2 linked regions of the Macaca fascicularis genome follow. The protein of the gene in region 1 purifies or fractionates together with the protein of each later gene. This does not show direct contact. Links are inferred from orthologs where the notes say so. Each region holds a gene or a part of one and is shown on either strand. Other genes may lie near its edges.

What was found. The genes of interacting proteins can lie anywhere in the genome.
Region 2: the proteins of PRKACA (region 1) and AKAP11 purify together in Homo sapiens (affinity purification with mass spectrometry; 5 studies listed by BioGRID and IntAct, with this or other methods). This does not show direct contact. The link is inferred for Macaca fascicularis from reciprocal best matches to the Homo sapiens genes PRKACA and AKAP11.

What each region holds. Positions count from the first base shown.
Region 1 is NC_088393.1:14,513,118-14,520,936, forward strand, and holds part of PRKACA (cAMP-dependent protein kinase catalytic subunit alpha), read right to left. Parts: intron 7,245-7,819; coding exon 7,162-7,244; intron 3,696-7,161; coding exon 3,569-3,695; intron 3,480-3,568; coding exon 3,384-3,479; intron 3,291-3,383; coding exon 3,168-3,290; intron 1-3,167.
Region 2 is NC_088391.1:21,605,572-21,613,390, reverse strand, and holds part of AKAP11 (A-kinase anchor protein 11), read right to left. Parts: intron 4,559-7,819; coding exon 4,398-4,558; intron 3,028-4,397; coding exon 2,887-3,027; 3' UTR 1-2,886. UniProt on the Homo sapiens protein: Binds to type II regulatory subunits of protein kinase A and anchors/targets them.

The DNA of each region.
Region 1 (7,819 bases):
ATGAGGCTTCTTTCTCCATCCAACAGTCCTACTGGGTGGGGGCCTCCAAAGCTGAGTGCCTGCTGGCATCCTGTAAAACAGCTCCTTGAGCCTACACTACAGTTTCCAATTTAGGAAGTGATACTGTGGCCTGAGAATCTGCATTTCTTTAAAAACTTTAAAAATTCAAGAGCTAGTTATTTTAAGTTTTTGTAGAGACAGGGTCTCACTATATTGCCCAGGCTGGTCTAGAACTCTTAGGCTCAACCGATCCTCCTGCTTTGGCCTCCCAAAGTACTGGGATTATAGGCGTGAGCCACCGCACCCAGCAAGAATCTGCATTAAAAAAAAAAAAAAAAAGTCTCATTCTGTAGCCCAGGCTGGAGTGCAGTGGTGCGATCTGGACTCACTGCAATCTCCGCCTCCTGGGTTCAAGGAATTCTCCTGTCTCAGCCTCCTAAGTAGCTGGGATCACAGGCTCACGCCACGACACCTGGCTAATTTTTGTATTTTTAGTAGAGACAGGGTTTCACCATATTGGTCAGGCTGGTCTTGAACTCCTGACCTCAGGTGATCCACCTGCGTCGGCCTCCCAAGGTGTTGGGATTACAGCTGTGAGCTACCGTGCCTGGCCCAATAATCTGCATTTCTAACAAATTCCCCAGCAACGGTGATGCTGGAAAGGGGTCCCCTTTAAGAACCATTGCTCTTAAGGCAAGTGCTATGATGATTTCCATTTCAGAGAAGGGGAAACTGAGGCTTGGAAGGGTTAAACAGCTCTTCCAAGGTCACATTGAGGCATGGGATGGGGCAATTCCATCTCAGGTCTACTGGACTCTAGAACTTGTATTCTCAGCTGCTGCTGCTGCCGCTGCTGCTGAAGGCATCTCTGCTGGGGTTCAGAGACTTCTGAAATATTCATGCTTATGACAAACTTTTTCTCTCCTCTCTTTCTGCATAGCTAAGGCTCTTCCATTCTTTAAAGTGCAGCTCGACTCTTCTTGAAAGTTTTCCCCATACGCTCTGAGCCCATAGCCTTGTATGCAAGTCATCACTGGAGTTATAGTTGCAAGAAACGACTTCTTGTTCCTGCTGTGCCTCTTACACGCTTTGTGACCTTGGCCATGGCCCTTAACCTCTCTGGGCCTGTGCATGCCTCTCAGATGTGGGGCAGATATCCCAGGGCTGCACGAGGGAGATAACACCACTGAGGGTGTGGGGGAACTAGAAAATGCTACAAAGAAGGGAGTCATGTGCATCTTCTCCTATGGGATCTTCTGTGATTTTTTTCTTTCTTTTTTTTTTTTCCACTCTGGACCATTTTCTTTTTTTTCTTTCTTTTTTTTTTTTTTCTGAGATGGAGTCTTGCTCTGTTGCCCAGGCTAGAGTGCAGTGGCGCAATCTCAGCTCACTGCAACCTCTGCCTCCTGAGTAGCTGGGATTTACAGGCATACGCCACCACACCCGGCTAATTTTTGTATTTTTAGTAGAGACAGGGTTTCAGCATGTTGGTCAGGCTGGTCTTAAACTCCTGACCTTGTGATCCGCCCGCCTCGGCCTCCCAAAGTGCTGGGATTACAGGCGTGAGCCACCGTGCCCGGCCTACTCTGGGCCATTTTATTGGCAGTTTCTATTCCACCCATGGCAGATGCCTCATCTTTCCTTTTTTTTGAGACGGAGTCTTGTTCTGTCGCCCAGGCTGGAGTGCAATGGTGTGATCTTGGCTCACTGCAACCTCCGTCTCCTGGGTTGAAGCAATTCTTTGGCCTCAGCCTCCCAAGTAGCTGGGATTACAGGTGCCTGCTACCATGCCCAGCTAATTTTTGTATTTTTAGTAGAGATGGGGTTTCACTATGTTGGCCAGGCTGGTCTTGAACTCCGGACCTCGTGATCCACCTGCCTCAGCCTCCCGAAGTGCTGGGATTACAGGCATGAGCCATCGTGCCAGGCCTTCATCTTTCCCTTTTAGTGATGCTATGTGTCCAGCCGGGTACCCCACTTGCCTGAATTTTTTTTAAAAGACTGTGTCTGGCTCTGTGACCCAGGCTAGTTTGCAGTGGCACAGTCACAGCTCACTGCAGCCTTGAACTTCTGGGCTCAAGTGATCCTCCTGCCTCAGCTTCCTGATGAGCTGGGAATACAGGGGTGCACCATCACGCCCAGCTAATTTTTAGCTTTTTTTTTTTTTTTTTTTTAAGAGATGGGGTCTGGCTATGTTACCCAGGCTGGTCTGGAACTGCTGGCCTCAAGCCTCCACTTCCCAAGGTGCTGGGATTACAGGCGTGAGCCATTGCACCCAAATGCAAAGTTTCAAAGCCAATCAGTGGCAGAGCTGGGACTGGGGTCCGGACTGGGGCCCAGGCTGAGCCTGAGGATGCTGCCACCACAGTGTCGTGACTCTGGGCCAACCAAAAGCTCCTGTGTAGGAGATGCTGGACCAAGTCGGGGGATGGTCGGGTCTTCCCAGCAAGGTGGTTGAGCTGAGGGCACAGGTGGGGTCCCCAACCTCTCTCCTGCTCTTAGTGCCTACGATGATTACCTACTCACCAAAGTGTGATCTTGGCCAAGACACATCCCTTTTCCCAGCCTGTTTCCTCACCTCTCCTGCAGAGGGTGCCACCATCTCAGGGTGTGACTGATGGGGGGATTCTAGGGCCTGGTGGATGGCAGGCACTTTGCGCCTGTCACAGATGTGAGCTGAGGTGGTTTCAGCACCCCTCATCCGAACCCTCAGAGTTAGGCAAGTCTGGGTTTGGGAGAGGAAGCATGGGCTGTAAACGCTAAGTGAGAGCACTCCTTGGTGAGGCTGCGGACAGCACCTGGGAACAGGAACCAAATACACTGGTTTTTCTGCCTTGGAATTTGCGAAAACTCACACTAACTGGGACAAGGAGTGACGAAGAGGGTTGCCTGGCAGGGCGGTTTGTGTTCTGCGGCCAAGAAGTTTCTGTGAGGCTTGGGGTTTTGGAAGCTCTTGGGATTCTGGAACCGCGGGGTTGGGGCTGGACAGTGAGGGGGCCTCAAGGTGTTGGCCTCAGTGTGGCCGGTGCGTCCAGCTTCACCACCTGGCCTGACTTAAGGAACTTCTAGATTATTCTGACAACAAGCAGGGCTCCCCAGGGAGTAGGATGAGTGAGCAGGGGAGGGTCTGTTTCTTCCAGGGCTGTGTCCCCGCAGCCGGACCTCACCTTCCCAGAGACGATCTTCTCATAGATCTGGATGGGCTGGTCTGCGAAGAAGGGCGGGTAGCCAGCAGCCATTTCATAGATAAGAACCCCCAGGGCCCACCAGTCCACAGCCTTGTTGTAGCCCTGGAGCAAGATGGGGGGGCACAGGGTGAGGAGGGGGCGAGCAGGAGAGCAGAGCCGGCCTCAGGGGAAGGGGAGGGCTGGGGAGGCGCCTACTTTGCTCAGGATAATCTCAGGGGCCAGATACTCAGGGGTGCCGCACAAGGTCCAAGTGCGGCCCTTCACGCGCTTGGCGAAACCGAAGTCTGTCACCTGTGGGCACAAGAACAGGCAGTTGGCAGGAAGGGAGGGTCCAGGCCACGGCTTCCCCAGGGCTGCCCCTCGCCCGGCCTGGTGGGCACCTGAATGTATCCCTGCTGGTCAATGAGCAGATTCTCCGGCTTCAGGTCCCTGTAGATGAGATCCAGCGAGTGCAGATACTCGAAGGTCAGGACGATCTGGGCCGCGTAGAAACGGGCATGGGGCTCGCTGATGGGGACAGATGGAGAGGTGAATGTCAGTGGCCATGCCCCAAAATGGTCCAGCAGGTGGCCCTGCAGAGCCTTCCCCAGAGGAAGACAACTCCAGTCCGGCTGTCAGAAATGCGAGGCACCTGATTCTTAGATAGCCCGACATGGGAAATAGCCTGTAGGTCCACCCACAGGAGAATGGAATCACAGACTGAGCTATAGTCATATAATGGAATTCCACTCACCACCACCACTGCCAACAGGACAGCCCATGCATCCACTCAACAACGTGGCTGCATTTCAAACTGATTATGTTAAAGCAAAAGAAGACACAAAAGAACATGAATGATTCCATTTATATCATGTCCACGCCCAGACAAAACAAAGGCACGGTGTTTGAAGTCAGAAAGGACAACTGCCTTTGGCGGGGAGGTGACGTGTCAAGAAAGGGATTTGGCCCGGCGCGGTGTCTCATCCCTGTAATCCCAGCATTTTGGAGGGTCGAGGTGGGAGGATCACTTGAGCCCAGGAGTTCGAGACCAGCCTGGGTAACATAGGCAAGATCTCACCTCTGTGTGTATGCAGAGATGTGTGTGTGTGTGTGTATATATATATATTTTTTTTTTCAGTATTTTTTTTGAGATGGAGTCTTGCTCTGTTGCCCAGGCTGGAGTGCAGTAGCATAATCTTGGCTCACTGCAACCTTCGCCTCCTGGAAACAAGTGATTCTCTTGCCTCAGCCTCCTGAGTAGCTGGGATTACAGGCATGCACCACCACACCTGGCTAATTTTTATATTTTTAGTAGAGACAGGGTTTCACCATGTTGGTCAGGCTGGTCTCGAACTGCTGACCTTGTGATCCGCCCGCCTTGGCCTCCCAAAGTGCTGGGATTACAGGCGTGAGCCACTGCACCCGGCCTCCACCTCTGTATATTATTGAAAAAAAAAAAAAAAAAAAAGAAGAAGAAAGGGATTCAAGGGAATTTTCTGGGGTGATAGAAAAGTTCCATATACTGTTTTAGGTGGAGGTTAGGTAACTGTATACAACTGTCAAAATTTGTGGCATGGAGCATTGAAGAACTGTGCATTTTATTGTATGTAAAGTGAATCTATAGTTTTCTATCTAAAATACAACTACAAGGCCAGCATGGTGGCTCATGCCTGTAATCCCAGCACTTTAGAGGCCGAGGGGGACAGATCACCCAAGGTCAGAAGATTGAGACCAGCCTGGCCAACATGGTGAAACCCCATCTCTACTAAAAATACAAAAATTAGCCAGGCAAGGGGGCGTGCGCCTGTAATCCCAGCTACTTGGGAGGCTGAGACAGAAGAATCACTTGAATCCAGGAGGTGAAGGTTGCACGGAGCCGAGATCACGCCACTGCACTCCAGTCTGGGTGACAAGACTGAAACTCCGTCTCAAAAAATAAAATAAAAGTACATATGTAAACTTATAAGTTAATAAGACAAATTTTTAAGCTAAAAATTTTTTTTTGTTTGAACAGGGTCTCTGTTACCCATTCTGAAGTGCAGCAGCGTGATCATGGCTCATGCAGACTTTTTTTTTTTTCCTTTTTATTTTTTTGAGATGGAGTCTTGCTCTGTCATCCAGGCTGGAGTGCACTGGCACGATCTTGGCTCACTGCAACCTCTTCCTCCCAGGTTCACTCCATTCTCCTGCCTCAGCCTCCCGAGTAGCTGGGAATACAGGTGCCCACCACCACGCCCTGCTAATTATTTTTTTTTGTATTTTTAGTAGAGATGGGGTTTCACCGTCTTAGCCAGGATGGTCTGGATCTCCTGACCTCGTGATCCGCCTGCCTCAGCCTTCCAAAGTGCTGGGATTACAGGTGTGAGCCACCGCGCCTGGCCGGCTCATGCAGTCTTGACCTCCCAGGCTCAGGTGATCTTCCCACCTCAGCCTCCCCAGTAGCTGGGACTACAGGCATGTGCCACCACACCTAATTTTTTTTTTTTTTTTTGAGATGGAGTTTCGTTCTTGTTGCCAAGGCTGGAGTGCAATGGTGCCATCTGGGCTCACTGCAACCTCTACCTCCTGGGTTCAAGCGATTCTCCTGCCTCAGCCTCCTGAGTAGCTGGGATTACAGGCGCCCACCACCACGTCCAGGTAATTTTTGTATTTTTAATAAAGACGGGGTTTCACCATGTTGGTCAGTCTGGTCTCGAACTCTTGACCTCAGGTGATCCACCCGCCTCGGCCTCCCAAAGTGCTGGGATTACAGGCATGAGCCACTGCGCCCAACCTATTTTTTTTTTTTTACTTTTTGTAGAGATGGGTCTTGCTATGTTAGGCTGGTCTCAAATTCCTGGGCTCTAGCAATCTGCCCACCTTGGCCTCCCAAAGTGGGATTATAGGCATGAGCCACAGTACCCAGCCTGTATCTTAAACTTACAAATTTATGTAGTTTTATTTTATGTATAAAAATATATATTAAAATCTACACATATAAAACTATTGACCTATATAAAATGAAATAATAGTATAATTTTTATTTTATTTTTTGAGATGGAGTCTCGCTCTGTCGCCCAGGCTGGAGTGCAGTGGCGCGATCACTGCAAGCTCCACCTCCCGGGTTCACACCATTCTCCTGCCTCAGCCTCCCAAGGAGCTGGGACTAGAGGCGCCTGCAACCACACCCGGCTAATTTTTTTGTATTTTTTAAGTAGAGACAGGGTTTCACCATGTTAGCCAGGATGGTCTCGATATCCTGACCTCCTGATCCACCGGCCTCAGCCTCCCAAAGTGCTGGGATTACAGGTGTGAGCCACCACGCCCGGCCAATTTTTTTTTTTTTTAAGAGACAAAACCTCACTATGTAGCCTAGGCTGGTCTCAAATTCTTGAGCTCAAATGATCTTTTCGCTTCAGCCTCAGGAGTAGTGGGATTACAGATGCATGCCACCTTTTGGGGCTCAAAAAATGCACAAAATCAACAACTTCAATTTTTTTTTTTTTTTTTTTTGAGACGGCGTGTCACTGTCTCACCCAGGCTGGAGTGCAGTGGTGTGATCTTAGCTCACTGCAATGTCTGTCTCCTGGGTTCAAGTGATTCTCCTGCCTCAGCTTCCCGAGTAGCTGGGATTACAGGTGCCCGCCACCACGCCCAGCTAAGTTTTGTATTTTTAGTGGAGACGGGATTTTGCCATGTTGGCCAGGCCGGTCTCGAACTCCTGATCTCAGGTGATCTGCCCACCTCGGCCTCCCAAAGTGCCAGTGAGAACCACCGCGCCTGGGACCAACTAAAGTTTGGACACCTAACTTGCCATGTTTGCTCTGTTTTGTTTTGTGGTGGTTGAAACATCACACATTCCTCAGCATAGGGGAAACACAAACCCATAGGATCCTGGGAGACCACCTGCATGTTCAAGCATGCTGGACTCCTCTGCATTCCCCGGGGGGCTTGGTTGTGCACTGCCACCTGTGGACACCCGACAGCCTGATGTGATGGGGGGTGGCCTGCTTACCTGAACCTTCCAATCCGCCGTAGGTGTGAGAACATCTCCCCACCGGGCACGTATTCCATGACCATGTATAAGTTTGAGTTGTCCTGTGGGAAGCAGTGGCTGGTCAAGGGCCCACTCCCTGAGACTTGGACCCTATCTGAAGGCCTTGGGGGCCTCCTGGCTGGTGTTCCAACATTAAATGACAACAGCGATCCTGGCTCTCCGTAGGAATCATGTTCTAGGGACCAGAGGCTTTGCTGGCTGAACCCACATGTTGCATTTCATTCTGCCCAGGAAGCAGGGGCAACCCTTATCCTGCTGTTAATGGGTGAAAGTGAGGGCTGGCTCATAGGTATGTCAGGAGCTGGTTAGCCTGCCCTGGCCGGAGGGTGAACTCTGTAGTACCTTGCTCTGGGAGCCTGAGTAAGGCTTTGAGGTCACAGTTTTGTCATCTGTAAAATGGGATCATGATGGGCTGCAAAATTAGTGGGACCCAGAATAAAAAAGGTGGCCCCTGGTTAAAAAGTTATTACGGAGGGCCGGGTGTGGTGGCTCATGCCTGTATAATCCCAGTACTCTGGGAGGCCGAGGTGGGTGGATCATTTGAGCCTAGGAGTTTGAGATCAGCCTGGGCAACACAGTGAGACCCTGTCTCTATAAAAATACAAAAATTAGCTGG
Region 2 (7,819 bases), on another chromosome or scaffold:
AAATATCAACCTTAACACCAAAATATACATGTAATTTTAACTTGGTTTAGGAAAACATGAAAGAACTGTCACATTTTGGTGTGAACAAGGTTCTGAAAACCCCCTATCAGAGGTCTCATTCACTTTTTTCCACATATCATTTGAAGGTTATGAAACTGGTAAACGGAGAATTCAGCTCAATGTACATCAAAACTTTAACGGTTCTGAAAAAGATATATTTCATAAGGGCCAAAATGTACAGCACAGCAATATTACAATGTTACAGTAGAAATACATCAAGCCAATTTGTAATAAAATAAGAGAGTTGTCTTCAAAAGAGCTGTTTGACTATAGAGCAACCAAATAGATCTAGAATATCTTTGGAAAAACCACAAAGTGCCTTTAAAGAAAGTTAAGTTTAGACTATACTTAATTAAAAGATACTGCTCTAAACTCAAAATTCTTTTCTCTATATGAGGAAGTTTGACACTTCTTTTCGCACTTGCCAATATTTAATATTTTTAACTCACACTTCTTTTCACATCTGCCAATATTTAATATTTTACTCTATGCCCCTGCACTGAATTGATGTAAGTGTGAAGTTCCACTATTATTATTACCACACATGCTAATACCTAATAACTGGTCTGTCATTTTGTAGTGGTTAAATAAGCAAATGCTGAACTCAGCACAGCTCTAGCAAAATGCAAAGGAAATAAGAATAAGAAAAGTCTCACCTCAGAATGATTACACCATAAACAGAAGTAAACATTTTCAAACACAAAGTTTTACAAAATAATGTATTGTCACTTTGAAAGAAATTCAGAACTCTATTTTGCTGTTGATCAAACCTGTGCATACACTCAAGTTACTAAACACAATTTGATACATACTTGTAAAAATGCATTCTAAACTTAATAACCAATTAATTCATAATTAACAAGAGCAAACATTCCTAGTCCTAACATTTACAAACCCAGTCCAGTGCAGCCACATCTCAAGTTCTGAAAAGCTAAAGGCAGAAACAATTCTGGTTATACAATTCCTGCATTTCTCCACCTTAAAAAATACTTGAAAAAACTTCAGGAAACTTTATATTAAGGCTTGCTGTATTTCTGTATCTTAAATTGAGAAAAATCAAAACCTACAATGTTACCTCAAGTTATTTAAATAGCTTTTGGCATTTTTCTTAAAAAGCAAATTTGAATCTTTCACTATAAAACATTTCTATACCACAATTACTAATTCACATTAATGTAAGTGCCCTTATTCCCTATTCCTTGGCAGGTGCTATGTCTTCTACATTTTGTGCAGCTTTCAGGTCAGTCAATGCTCAGAAAAAAATGAAAATGTAATGGAGCAAAACCAAAGCCCCCACAAAAAGTGATTTATCCTAGATTACAAAATCCAATAGTGGAAGAACCAACATTTACACACCCAAATACACACACATCCACACATCCACAGGACACAGTGGGAGGTGAGAGAGAGTGGTGGTGGGGAGGTGAGAGAGTAGGGGGAGTGGGGGAGGTGAGAGTTGGGGGAGAGGGCAGAGAGTGGGGGAGAGGGCAGAGAGTGGGGGAGAGGGCAGAGAGTGGGGGAGAGGGCAGAGAGAGGGGGAGAGGGCAGAGAGTGGGGGAGAGGGCAGAGAGAGGGGGAGAAGGCAGAGAGTGGGGGAGAGGGCAGAGAGAGGGGGAGAGGGCAGAGAGAGGGGGAGAGGGCAGAGAGCGGGAGGAGGGGAGAGACAGACAAAAGCAAAACACAACCTTGGTCCTCTATTCATGTCAACTTGCAGTTTCTGGACACAAACTAGTAGGAAATGTAGAGCCCAGAAAGATCATGTCAGAGAACTTGACAAGACGGTGTAGATATGGTGAGGGGGTGGGGGGATCCCAATTTTTCAACCATATTCTTGGTAGAGAGTTTTTTTTTCAAAAATCCAATAAAAACTATTGGCTTCTCTAAATGCATTTCCATATTAATATTAATTTTTAAAATTTCAACATGTTTTATAATTTTTCACTTGTAAGAAGTTGGGAACCCAAAATCGTCAAAAAGAGGAATAAAAATTCTTACTGCACAATCTTTATAGGCGTTTTATTTTAAAGCACCTTTTTAAATCTTAACAGTGGGTTTCTAAAAAGAAAACAGTAAAATAAAAGAGGGAACAAACTGGCAAGGTTAAAGTACTCCTTTACACACACACACACACACACACACAATCACTTTCATGCCAGAATGACTGGCAGCATTGGCAAATAATGTCATCTGATGAAAGGATGGGTCAAACTATCACTTAGTGTTCATAGAAACCTAAAATACTAATGTTTTTGCTAAGAAATTAAATAGTTTGGGGAAATCAAAAAGCTACCAACAGCTGAACTATGAAATATGAAAATGAAACTGATTTTTAAAAACAGGAAAGACCAAAAATCTACTAGAAATTAAAAAAAATCAGCCTCAATTTTATTTTCTGATGTCAGACTAGTTATTAATTAGATGCCATTTGTTTGCAAAGGAGCAAAATGATAACTCTATCACTGGAACCTATCCTCAGCCACTTCAGTGCAGTTTCTAGCAGCACTATTTGGATACAAAAAGAATGTGGTCAGACAATGCCCCTGAAAACCCCATGGTTAGACCTTCCTTCAAATACATGTTCTTAGGGTCTTCACACACTACACACATGTATAGAAGAATAAATGAAGCTAGTATTTTGACAGAGATTACAAAAGTATGAACTATATACACTGAGTGATAACCCAAAGCGCTTAGAAAGCTATATTTACTTGCCTCCCAACTGACTGACAATGTTAATATTCACTATTCAAATTTTATCCTAAACATCTTTATTGGCTTGTTCCCCTCCCCAAACAAATACTAAAATATACTGGTTTGGGGTTTGCTCTATGCATTTTCCAAGAGCCAATCAAACAGCGACTTGCATCTTTCCTCACTGGAAGCTTTTTCCATCACTTCATAGTACTGAAGCACAGCCTGCAGGAGGTCTCCCACTTTCCATCCTTTCTCTTGTAATTGTTTTGAAAGCTAAGAACGAAAGAAAGATGTGTCAAACATTAACCAAAAACAATTTTATAACAAAGCTTTTATTTTTAGCTGAAACTAAGAATCCTGCTGTTTACAATTAAATAGTTTCCTAGTTATAACAAGGTCTTCCCCTCTAAACCGCTACCCCTTTACCCAAATTAAACATTTTCCCTTCTTCCCCTATATAAACACATCTCCTCCGGAGAATGACACTTTGGGATCGCTGGAGACAAAGCTCCACAAACCTCACCAAGCAAATAGTCTGTGTGGGAGTGCAGAGACTGAGTTTCTACAGGAAATTCTTCACCTAACTAAATACAACTGCCACACCCTCAATTAGAACATAAAATAATAAAGACAACGTCAAGCTCAATAAACGGATGTGGATTTTCCTTCCACAACATATAGTATGTTATTTTTCTGGAATACACACTCTAGCCTCAATGATGACATGGCTTTCTAAGTTAAAAAATGTTAATGTTTCAACATACATACATACATACATAAATACAGGTTTAAATAAATCCTGTTGTCCCACTCATGACATGCCTTCGTTCACTTCTTTTTCTACTAAGTTCTGTAAAAGCTCTTAAGTTTTGAAAGATCTGTAAGTTAAAGTCTGAAAAACTAATTTGTGTTAACATATATATGCTTAACCTTTTTAAAAACAGCTTTATTGAGATAAAACTCACATAACATACAATTCACCCAAAGTGTCTTAGTCAATGGTTTTTAGTATGTTCTCCAAGTTGAATGCAACCATCACCACAATTAGAATATTTCTACCACACCAAAAGGAAACTTCCAATAAAGAAAATTATGCAACAAAAACCTTAAGACTGTAAACTGAAAATCTTGACTAATAAGGTATTTCGCACATAGTAAGCATCTTGTTTAAACTTTTATCGACTTTTAATTATGACAGCTTCTCATATGAATGAAACTGGATTATCAGAGAAAGATATATTAGGTACAATTATGAATCAATTAAATACAGAGAATAATTCAACTTTTTCATAGGAACACACACAATGCTTATTAATAGCATCTACCTTTGAGAGCTTAGTGTTATGCCAGGCATTAGACTAAGCATTTTTTTAACATTATATTTAATCCTCATAAACCCCTGTAAGGTTGATTCTATATTCATTTGCATAGCGCAGTTAGGGGCAATGAGACAGACTGGTGAACCTGCCTCTGGTTACCCTGCTAGAAAGAGGCAGAGCTGATGTCTGAACCCAACTGTTGGATACTACAGCCTAAGCATTTAACCACTCTGCCATCACCAGGCATCTTGTTAGACCAACCACATGACAAGAACATCATCTACTGTTAAATGTATACTAACCCTCTATAAGGTAGGTACTTACTAGCATAAACTCCTTATTTGCAGAGTCATGAAAATAAAGTTCTGTAACTTCAGCCTCAGAGGCAATGAGCCATTGAAGAATAATCCTTAGCTGGGGGTCTACCGTGCATGGCTCCATGTCAATATTCGTAATTAGCAGTGTCTTTCCATCTTGCCCCAAACCTAATATTTAAATGTAAACAATGTAAAGTAAAACTCATCAATTTAACTCTCAATACTCTGGTTGTCAAGTAGATACAAATATTTTCCCTTCCTTAGGATTCTAATAAATGGTGAAAAAACATCCATCTTTTTCTAACCACACCATAACCTCAACTAAAACTTTTAAAGGGCAAAATAATGTAAAACAAAGGAACAACTTTGATCATTTATTGATTGCAAAAATGTAAAACACCATTTTAACGTAATGAATTCAAGTTCTATAAATACCATAATTTGATATAAATTATGACCAATGGGTTACAGAGAAAATAGAACTATAAAGCTATCATCACAATAAAAATTAAAATGAGGCTGGGCATGGTGGCTCAGGCCTATAATCCCAGCACTCTGGGAGGCCGAGGTGGGCAGATCACTTGAGGCCAAGAGTTCAAGACCAGCCTGCCCAACATGGTGAAACCCCATCACTACTAAATATACAAAATCCAGCCAGGTATGGTGGCACATGCCTGTAGTCCCAGGTACTCAGGAGGCTGTGGCACAAGAATCACTGGAACCCAGGAGACAGGGGTTGCAGTGATCCGAAATTGTACCACTGCACTCCAGCCTGGGCAACGGAGCAAGACTGTCTCAAAAAACAAAAATCTCAAATAAAGAAGAGCAGCAACATTTGTGCAGCACATATTCCATCCTAAGTATTGTTCTAAGCTCTTTATATGTACAAACTCCTTTAATCCTCACAACCACTCTATGACGTAGAAACTATTATCGTATCCATCCTACAGGTGAGAGATCTGAGGCAATGAGAGCCGCAGAGTCCTCCAGTGGGGAAGTGGCTGAGCCAGGACATTTACACAGGCAGTCTAGCTCCATGCTCTTAATCACTCATTCAGACAAAACTGGGAGGAAATGCCATATGCAACCACTTAACCCAAAGCCAGATCAGGGAATTTTCTGGTATACTCCAAGTATCAAGATTATCTCTAATTTATTTTCTTTTTTTATGGTACTTTTGTTTTCATCACAAAGAGAGATCCATCTCTGTTGATGGAAATAATGACTTGTGGGCCAGTATCATGCATTTAACATTCCTGCTGCTTAATGACACCTGAGCAATACGGAGTGCTGAGACCAGGACCCCTCCACCCCTTAACACACACCACAAGAGGTGAGCACCAGGGCATGCTGGCAGACATCATGCCAATATGTACCAGTAATGGAAAGACTGCTGACAGATGTCTGATTCTCTGCTACAGTTTGCAGGCCATTCTAGACCACTATTAATTATTTTCAGGATTTGTGTTGGTCCCTAATTTTTAATTTAAAAGATTTGGTCCACATTACTCTCTAAAAATAAATGTATTGTCTTTTCCCTCCCCTCTCTCAAACACTCTCAATCAAAAATAGGTTTGGTACACCACGGTACAAGGCATGGTCTCTGGGCCTTTTTGCAATCCTGCGGAGTTCAGGGGGCTGGAAGCTAAGTCACCCCACTGCTTCTCTGCACTGCTGGTGTTTTCTCAGTTCAGGACTCCTGGTTGCCTGGCCTACAAGAACCTTCAAACAGCTCTCTCTTTAGAGAAGCCACTAACAATTAATGAAAAGGGGAGGGACTGACATCCTGCAACTACAAATTTTTTTTTTAAAAGAAGTTTGTTGCCTTAGGATTTCCATAATTTTGAGTCTTTCTATAAATCCAGACCAATATATCTCCTAATTTACCAATCTCTAACAAATTTAAAGTTGGCTGTAACTTTCTATATAATGAGAAATACCTATAATCTCAAAAGCTCAGTAATGACATATCAACATATAATTAATCTCCTGTTTCTACCTACTCACAAAAGAAATCCTTAACAGCCTGGTTAGTGCCAAAAGTAATCTTTTTCAAAATAAATTTCATATTTATATTAACTTGTATCTTTTTTCTTAATCATTCCTCAGTAAAGCTAGTTAAGCAATTGCTAGTTCATTAGAGAATACTTACCACATGCATTTGTAGCCTTTAGAATAACTGTTCACAGGTGTTACTTGAGAAAAGGTCTAGAACTTTTATAAACAAAGTCAACACTTTTTTATTGAACAAGAATGAAACAAATATTGCAGTAGGGAATATCAATATCAAATATCAATAACACTAAAAATATTGCCCCATCTCGACTTTGTATCTGATGAGAAAAACTGACTTCTAGAAGCCCTATATAAAGAATGTCGACTTACAGAGACATTAAAACTAAAAAAATAATAATCTTAAGTCTGAAGATTGCAGCTTAAAAATTGGGATGTGACTTCCCTAAACAAGGTGTTAAACTTATTGAAAATTCAGGTGTCATAAAGTAAATTTCGAGAAATTCTTTTTAGCTATTTTCTGTTTGCCTGCTTCTAGAGAAGCAATTTTTAAAACATCACTAGTTCAAAAACAAGTATCTCAAAGAGTACAAATACTTTTATAAGTGCCACTTTATAGAAGACATTATTGGTATTTTCAAAATTAAGAAAAAATTAGACTTTTAGAAAAAAATTCAACAACCATCTGAATATAATGAAAACTCAGCTTCAAAGTAAAGTTTCTAAATTCACTCAGATGAATAAACTCAGATATTTTAACATATGAATTAAGGATTACAAACCATGATCCAAAACTGTGGCCAATGATATCCAGTACTGACATACTTGGAACTATGTTCATTAAGGAAGGATCTGAATATTTTCTTTAAATATGTATATGTGTGAGTGAAGCACTGGAACTGGGGGAGGGAAGAAGAATTAACTTAGAAATATCTTTTAAACAAGATAAGTAAAAATATTACTGACTCACCTAAGTTTGACATGAAACCCTAGTTCTACAAGTTACCAGTTTGGAAGGAAAATAATATGCCATAGTTAAAATAAATTATCTTATGAGTAAGAATTTTAGCTTTTATATTTTGAAAATAATTATGTGGAGAGATTATAATTAATTTATCTCAAATAATCAAATAATTCTCATGAAGTATTCCTTTCTTTTTTCTTTTCTTTTCTTTTTTTTTTTTTTTTTTTTGAGTCAGAGTCTCTGGCTCTGTCACCCAGGCTGGAGTGCAGTGGCATGATCTCAGTTCACTGGAACCTCTGCCTCCCAGGTTCAAGCGAATCCTGTGCCTCAGCCTCTTGAATAGCTGGGATGACAGGCACCCACCACCATGCCCAGCTAATTTTTGTATTTTCAGTAGAGATGGGGTTTCACCATGTTGGCCAAGCCGGTCTTGAACTCCTGGCCTCAAACAA